3 linked regions of the Saccharomyces cerevisiae S288C genome follow. The main gene of each other region encodes a partner of the protein of the gene in region 3 in a complex. Each region holds a gene or a part of one and is shown on either strand. Other genes may lie near its edges.

Region 1 (2,590 bases), on a different chromosome or scaffold from region 3:
GGTCAAAAAGGGCACAAACTTCTTCACCTTCAGCGATCTGGGTCCCACTGAAGAAACACGCTTGAAATGGGAATACAAGAAGAACTATGAGCTGGCCACCAGGACGGAATTGACCGAAGCACAAAAGTTGCAGATCATTAGCGTCGCAGAAGGCATTTTTGATTGGAACTTCAACATCGTTGCAGAAATTGGAGAGTTGAATCGTCGCGAGTTAATGGGCAAGTTCAGCTTCAAGTGTATTACGTACTTGTACGAAGAATGGATGTTCAACAAGGATTCTGCTACTAGAAGAGCACTCCACACGGTCATGCTGCTGGTGCTTTCTATTATCGCGATCTGGGTTCTTTACTTCTTGGTAAAGAGTTTTCTTAGCATAGTATAACGTATAAAAAAAAAAGTCTAAATACAAACATAATATATACATGAAATAATATCAAAATATGAAGAATAGGGAAGGAAAAACAGCAGAGAAAAACATGTGAGAGGTTTTTACAGCCCTATTATCTACCCTGAGATAGCTTTCTTCTTTCTGCCTTCTCCCTCTTTCTTCTTTTCCGCAGTTTGTGTTTCTTCATCTTTTTTTTCCTCTTTCTCATCACTGAATCGAGTTGCATCACTATATTTGAACCGTTTAATGGCTCACTGACTGTGCCAGTGATCCTTGTTGCCGTAGCCGTCATCATCATCATTGTACTCAGCATGCCCTCTTGCATGGGAGGCATTGTAGTGTTAATTGCTGTTTGAAAGGTTCTGTTAAAGTAGGACCCGCAACTTGGTTTCTTAACCACCGTCCTAGTAATGCCCAGCCACCCAGGTCGCAATGCCCTTCCTAGCATGTTTATCTCGTTCTGGTGTCGTGTGTGCTCGTCTTGGCTGGAACTCAACCGCCTTTCGCTCTTGATATTATATTTGGCATTCACTTAAGTGTGCAGTATGGGGAAAGGGCTCTTTTTATCATGCGCTACGAAAAAGCGGCTCGAAGAAAATAATCCAAAGGAGTCTGACAAGAGACAATAGTAGATATTTGGTCAACTACTAAGGGCGGGCCTTTGGTTGTAGTTTTTTTACACTTTATAAGCGCAGAACACTGTAGATATTGCGAAGGTGGACTTAAAGTAGTTTGGCAAACTTGTACTTCCAGAACTATGACCGTGCTATATGCTCCTTCGGGTGCTACTCAGCTATATTTCCATCTGCTAAGGAAGTCGCCACACAACAGGCTAGTTGTCTCTCACCAAACACGTCGTCACCTCATGGGGTTCGTTAGGAACGCCCTTGGATTGGATCCTCCTCCCTCTCCAGAAGATCCTACTCCGGAGAACAGATTCCATCCATGGGATCAGTCTCCCTCAGTGGACTTGCGTGAAAGGGCCGCCAAGATTAGAACGCTAGCACACTGCCCTGTTACCGGCAAAGATATTAACTACACTTGTCCTCTGTCAGGAATTCCGACTCATCACTCACGAGAGGCTTGGGAGATGGATAAAGCATATCACGATTCTAAAAAATATGAAATCCTGAAAAAAGTTAATATTTATGAGCATGACTTAAGAAGCGGTAGACCCTTCCCGGAGTTTGATTTTCCCCAACAGCAAGGCTACGACAAGGCCGTTAACCTAACAAACTGGGATTTGTTTTTCTACACAAGATCATTCTATTCCATGGATACAGAGTTCCAATTAGCCGCAGTCACAAAGATGCTAAGCTATCCAATTACGATTGGGTCTTTGCTGCACAAATTTTCCCCGTATTCATTGAACCCAAAGGGGCCTATCACCTTAGAAGGTCTAAAATCTCTGGCTGCTCTCAGGTATACTTTATATCCGTTGGAGAATAGATCTTTACCAACCACAACTAAGAACCGTGCTATGAGAATTTTCATCCTAGGTGCACGTGCTGAAGCTCAATTGCCGGGCCACGTTTGGAAACAGCTCCAGTTTCTTTTCCCAGAGCAGAGTTTCGAAATACATTTCATTGGACCCGAATGCCTGTATAAAAGGGATAAACAGGAGTACGTCAAGTCTACTACGCCGGTAGTACAAAGAGTAGACGAGACTCTGAAATTCATTTATCGTACAAACTTTTTCGAAGTATTCCATGAGGCTCAAGATTTTTTCCCATACGATCCATACATGGATGTCTTTTTTACTTTCCATCCAGGCTACGCATCTCCAGAATCTCACGGTTCATGGATGGGTGAAACTATGAAGGCATTACTGGAAACAAAATGTGCTATCTTCACAACGGGTTTCAATAAGAAAGACCTAACGGACGACATAAATCTTGTCAAATCCAAATACGGTAAGGAAATGGATGTCTTAATGGAGCCCGTCAGAAACGTATTTGGAAGTACGAAGTGGGAATTAAATGACATGAATCCTCAAGAAGTTTATCAATTTAACATGTATATTGCCGGGTTCAGAGGTAAAAGGTACCATACAATCAAGAGACAATGATTATCGGGAGGCCATGCCCAACTTTCATCTTATAAATATATGCGTTTTCTACCGTTATTATAATTTTTTTCTTATGTATGATATCTCAATATCTGTAAATACAAAAATACTAACCCCACCCCCTTCGTAATGGT
Region 2 (2,653 bases), on a different chromosome or scaffold from region 3:
TGATGGAGGACCATTGCCTTGTAATCAATTTTAGTGTCATCACCCAATGTGTTCTCACCCACTGTTTTCAATCTGTGGACGAACTCATCTTGGGTCAAACCTTCAGTTAGACTTGTGCCTATGAATTCAGCGGCTTCTTCTGCAGTCAGCGTGTGATAAGCATTGAATTCTGCATTATTGTTTTCCTTAGTAGTTCCTTCGCCCATCGAAAATTTTCAATTCTGTGTACGAAGTTTTTTCTTTAATTAGTAAATATACGTATTGTTGCCTCAAATAAATGTGAATTAAGTGTGAACAGTTCACTTGATGAAGATATCTGCTTTATTAAAGTTAATATTAGAATATAAATGATTAGACTATTACTAATGAGAAAAGAAAGATAGGAGAAATAGTAGAAATTAATAGTACTCTAAAAAGAAAGAACGGAATAAGAGGAAAAGACCTTTTATCTATTCAAATTGTTTCCCTTAGGTATATATATATATATATATATATATATATATTTTCCCTGTATATATCTATGTAAATGACGAAAACGCATGACATTTTAAAACCTACCCCGGGTTTGACCACAACCCACCGTTCATCTAATATTAACCCGCACCCACCAAGGAAAGAGGCAATAATTCGGGAATACTGCTCTAAGACCTTGTTTTTTCTTCTGTCAGGTGAAAGTATATGACCAAAATCTACATCCCTGCCCTAACAAACGTCATAGAAGTAGGAAATAAATGATGAGCCCCGCAAAATGACGCCGCACGGCGATGTTTAAGACCCTGTACTCACAATGTAACCACTTCGTGCAGAAGCTTCTGGGAGGAAAGGGTCCGTACATGAATTATCACACCCACACCCCTCATTCAATCCTTCTACCGCGCATGGTAATCAATCATAACAGGAAGCGATAAGAAAGTTTACATTGCACAGCCACCCTCATTGCCTCTGTGATTGAAGATCTGGGAGTGGGGCTAAAGGTGCAACTTCCGTACAAGAGTGACGAGATAAAGGATTTTCCACGGAATGGCTGACAAAATTCGGGGCTTGTGTGAGTTCCACGTGCGGATGACTTAATAAGCTCAGTGATTGTACTTTTGACATGATTGATGAACGGCTAGAGATAGCCACCGAGTGGCTACTTAGTAATAACCAGCGTAGGAAACAATTACGGATTTTGTTATCGTTCACCGATAACCCTAAAATATTGACCACACTGGTAGTCATTAGAATTTAACCAAGAGGGTAGCTTAGTTCGACCGATAATCAATATTACTGAAGTCTTATCAAATTCTGACTCTTGCCATACCGTTTCTTATCGTCACTGTTTAATCCGGAAATTAGTCATGTATCCACACATCCTTTATTAACAGCAGAGAGATTGGGCAAGAATGTTAGCAAACTATGTACCAGGCGGGTAATACCTGTACATCTATTTTCTTTTGAAAAGGAAAAAATGCAAGAAAGGGCATGAAATGAAACTATTTGGTACAAATTAGAATTATGCGAACCGTGCAAAATCAGAAAAGGGGGAAAAACATTGGCCAATGCTTAGAAATACCATTGCATTAAGATCATTTATCAGAACACAGTCGACGCGCCCATATCCTGTAAATGTAGAGGCAGTCTACTATGCTCCTTTAAAGTTACCTATCAAATATGGTGATTTAGTTGCAGACATTCAGTTAAGATCGTATGACAATGAAAACCTCGATTTTTATTCAGACTTCATACTTAGAACAGGTTACTATTTGGGTATCCCATTGACAGGTCCTAAACCTTTGCCCACGAGAAGAGAAAGGTGGACTGTAATAAAATCACCTTTCGTGCACGCTAAATCCAAAGAGAATTTTGAAAGACATACACATAAGAGGCTCATTAGGGCCTGGGATACGAACCCCGAAGTGCTACAGATGTTGATAGCTTACATTACGAAGCACTCTATGGCAGGCGTCGGAATGAAATGTAACTTCTTTCAAAGGTCCGAAATATCGCTGGACTTGGGTTCGGACGCCAATGGCCTCGAAAAATCACTAAGCAATATCGATGAATTGTATTCTCTGAGAAACGATGATAAAGCTCAAACTAGTGCTGTCGGACAAAAAGTATTGGAACTATTGGATAGCCCCGATTTTAAAAAACATTTGGAAAAGAAGTAAAAAGATGATGGCAATCCTATAATTACGCTGGTTCTTGGGACCGAAAAGATTTCGTACTTGTAAATAAAATAGGTGAAGAAGAGGGGCAAAAAGTAGTAGATTAAATGGTTATACTGAATTTATAAGTAAGTTTAATTATATTTTTTAACTATATGATGAACAATTTTGTACTAATATTGCGGCCCGTTATGAGTATTGCTCTTGCCATAAAAGTGTGTTCACTGCTTTGTTTCCTGGTACTGCATACCGCTTAATATTGTTATCGCTCAATAAATTTAGTTTCTGGAAGCTTTCCAAGGACTTACCAGGTAGCGGGCCTGAGAATCTATTTTTTAGTCCATCGGCTACAAAAATCGGTAGTATATTTGTTCTTGGTAAGTAAGCTTTGCTAAAGGAAAGTGTCCTTTTTCTGTTTGTATTCTTCTTCGAATTCCACCTGAAATGTTGGACATTCAGGGATGTGTGTAACCGATACTTCTGGTCAGAGAGTTTGTATACAA
Region 3 (3,211 bases):
ACAGGACAGGGGCGCAATATATGTTCTCTGACATTGCACCTTTTGAATATATCATGTGTTTGTTCTGCTATCTGCTTGTAGAAGGGTACGCTAACAGAGCCGGCGGCATTGTAAAAAGTTCTCCTTTCGCGGAAGGATGAGTCAAAAAGCATGTGACAATGAAATAATCAAATTGTGACATCTGCTGACGCGGGATCGTTCCTTCGTATTGTCTAGATTGTAATCTATATAACATACTACGAATATAAAAGAGGGACTACAAGATATTTCTAGCGCAAACTACTGCTTTACTGTCTCACAATGTCTCTGATTGGAAGATACCTAAGAAAATTATTTAACTACATATCTACAAAATCAAAGCATCATGCCTTCGCAAGTCATTCCTGAAAAACAAAAGGCTATTGTCTTTTATGAGACAGATGGAAAATTGGAATATAAAGACGTCACAGTTCCGGAACCTAAGCCTAACGAAATTTTAGTCCACGTTAAATATTCTGGTGTTTGTCATAGTGACTTGCACGCGTGGCACGGTGATTGGCCATTTCAATTGAAATTTCCATTAATCGGTGGTCACGAAGGTGCTGGTGTTGTTGTTAAGTTGGGATCTAACGTTAAGGGCTGGAAAGTCGGTGATTTTGCAGGTATAAAATGGTTGAATGGGACTTGCATGTCCTGTGAATATTGTGAAGTAGGTAATGAATCTCAATGTCCTTATTTGGATGGTACTGGCTTCACACATGATGGTACTTTTCAAGAATACGCAACTGCCGATGCCGTTCAAGCTGCCCATATTCCACCAAACGTCAATCTTGCTGAAGTTGCCCCAATCTTGTGTGCAGGTATCACTGTTTATAAGGCGTTGAAAAGAGCCAATGTGATACCAGGCCAATGGGTCACTATATCCGGTGCATGCGGTGGCTTGGGTTCTCTGGCAATCCAATACGCCCTTGCTATGGGTTACAGGGTCATTGGTATCGATGGTGGTAATGCCAAGCGAAAGTTATTTGAACAATTAGGCGGAGAAATATTCATCGATTTCACGGAAGAAAAAGACATTGTTGGTGCTATAATAAAGGCCACTAATGGCGGTTCTCATGGAGTTATTAATGTGTCTGTTTCTGAAGCAGCTATCGAGGCTTCTACGAGGTATTGTAGGCCCAATGGTACTGTCGTCCTGGTTGGTATGCCAGCTCATGCTTACTGCAATTCCGATGTTTTCAATCAAGTTGTAAAATCAATCTCCATCGTTGGATCTTGTGTTGGAAATAGAGCTGATACAAGGGAGGCTTTAGATTTCTTCGCCAGAGGTTTGATCAAATCTCCGATCCACTTAGCTGGCCTATCGGATGTTCCTGAAATTTTTGCAAAGATGGAGAAGGGTGAAATTGTTGGTAGATATGTTGTTGAGACTTCTAAATGATCTTTTGTAACGAATTTGATGAATATATTTTTACTTTTTATATAAGCTATTTTGTAGATATTGACTTTTTACGATTTATTTGTAACAATGAGAATTACTCCATTTCTGAACTTCAGTAAATAGCGAGTGATTCTGTACTTTGCGAGAACCGGTGGACATTTGGTATTTTGCCTTACAAGAACAACCTATACAAACGTTTCAATATCTAATTCTTTGTAATCCATTGTTTTACGAGACATATAATGTGATATATAGATGAACTTTACGTATAAAATGATATATTTAAAACTAGCAACTGCGTGCGTAAGACAAACTGAAATAGGCCATTTACGGAAAAGAAATTTAATAATGTCGACTGGAAACTGAAACCAGGAGGAGTAGAAATTGGTTAAATTGATTAGCTAAAATTTACTCGTTGTGGACAGAGTTTGAGCCAAGCGGAATGTTTTCAAGGCTTTCTTTGTTTCGAAGGGCAGCTCTGGCTCCTGCCCCTATGAGAATGTCTTTTAGGACTATTTATCAAAAAACCGAGGATGAATTGCCCAGAAGGATCGTCCCAAAGCTAGCCACATTTTATTCGGCGAATCCTAACCATGAAGATCGTATTAATCGACTCGAAAGACTTCTAAGGAAATACATAAAACTGCCATCTCAGAACAACAATGAAGCACAACAAACAAAAGCTCCTTGGATTTCTTTCGATGAGTACGCTTTAATCGGCGGTGGTACGAAATTAAAGCCTACGCAATATACTCAGCTACTGTATATGTTGAATAAACTTCACAACATTGATCCTCAACTTACTAATGATGAAATCACATCCGAACTATCCCAATATTATAAAAAAAGTTCAATGCTTTCCAATAATATCAAAATCAAAACTTTAGATGAGTTTGGAAGAAGTATAGCCGTTGGAAAAAGGAAAAGTTCCACTGCGAAAGTATTCGTTGTTAGAGGTACAGGTGAGATATTAGTTAATGGTCGACAATTGAATGATTACTTCCTTAAGATGAAAGACAGAGAATCAATCATGTATCCACTTCAAGTGATCGAATCAGTTGGAAAGTACAATATTTTTGCGACAACGTCTGGAGGCGGACCTACGGGTCAGGCTGAATCAATCATGCACGCCATTGCGAAAGCTTTGGTTGTGTTCAATCCATTATTAAAATCCAGACTACATAAAGCTGGCGTCTTAACAAGAGATTACAGGCACGTCGAAAGAAAGAAGCCAGGAAAAAAGAAGGCAAGAAAGATGCCAACATGGGTCAAGAGATAGTCTTAGTGCATCTTGTTACCTCAATTTCGAACGGAAGCGTGCGTGCTCTGAGTTTTTTGACACATGCCAGAAGAAACGTTATATATTTTGCATACAACGCCGCCCAGCATTAGAAGCACAACTCTCGTTCGTTATTCCTGTAAATAAAGTTATATGTATTCGAATATTGCTCAGTTAGTATTTTCTTCTACTTACTGCACATAATACTTCATCTTTTTTTTCCTCTCACCCGCAAAGCAAAGGGGCCTTGCAGCAATGACTCAAATTCCATTGGAAAAAAGAAGGAGATGATAAGATGCAAATCAGAATAGATTTTACTATGACCGTTACATGTAAAAAGAGTCATAATATAAACCATAAATACTACAAATAACACCGGGTTCAGGCATATAAATAAACTATTCTCCTGTAATATCCCACAATATTTTGTTATAACCCAGACGTAATAGCCTCAAGCGAGCATCCCTAAATTTCTGCCATGAAGCTGATCCCAATTATTTTGAATGCTAAGA

What was found. The genes of interacting proteins can lie anywhere in the genome.
Region 1: MRPS9 (region 3) and QRI5 share a complex: the UniProt entries of both Saccharomyces cerevisiae proteins name them as parts of the mitochondrial small ribosomal subunit.
Region 2: MRPS9 (region 3) and RSM10 share a complex: the UniProt entries of both Saccharomyces cerevisiae proteins name them as parts of the mitochondrial small ribosomal subunit.

The regions. Positions count from the first base shown.
Region 1 is NC_001144.5:550,516-553,105, reverse strand, and holds QRI5 (mitochondrial 37S ribosomal protein mS38 QRI5), read right to left. Parts: upstream 837-2,590; coding exon 501-836; downstream 1-500. Other genes in the region: HMX1 (Hmx1p), read left to right, coding at 1-382; MSS51 (Mss51p), read left to right, coding at 1,146-2,456. UniProt on the Saccharomyces cerevisiae protein: Component of the mitochondrial ribosome (mitoribosome), a dedicated translation machinery responsible for the synthesis of mitochondrial genome-encoded proteins, including at least some of the essential transmembrane subunits of the mitochondrial respiratory chain.
Region 2 is NC_001136.10:538,262-540,914, forward strand, and holds RSM10 (mitochondrial 37S ribosomal protein uS10m RSM10), read left to right. Parts: upstream 1-1,541; coding exon 1,542-2,153; downstream 2,154-2,653. Other genes in the region: Na(+)/Li(+)-exporting P-type ATPase ENA1, read right to left, coding at 1-206; YDR042C (uncharacterized protein), read right to left, coding at 2,340-2,653. UniProt on the Saccharomyces cerevisiae protein: Component of the mitochondrial ribosome (mitoribosome), a dedicated translation machinery responsible for the synthesis of mitochondrial genome-encoded proteins, including at least some of the essential transmembrane subunits of the mitochondrial respiratory chain.
Region 3 is NC_001134.8:533,398-536,608, forward strand, and holds MRPS9 (mitochondrial 37S ribosomal protein uS9m MRPS9), read left to right. Parts: upstream 1-1,862; coding exon 1,863-2,699; downstream 2,700-3,211. Other genes in the region: YBR144C (uncharacterized protein), read right to left, coding at 1-152; alcohol dehydrogenase ADH5, read left to right, coding at 365-1,420; RTC2 (cationic amino acid transporter), read left to right, coding at 3,178-3,211. UniProt on the Saccharomyces cerevisiae protein: Component of the mitochondrial ribosome (mitoribosome), a dedicated translation machinery responsible for the synthesis of mitochondrial genome-encoded proteins, including at least some of the essential transmembrane subunits of the mitochondrial respiratory chain.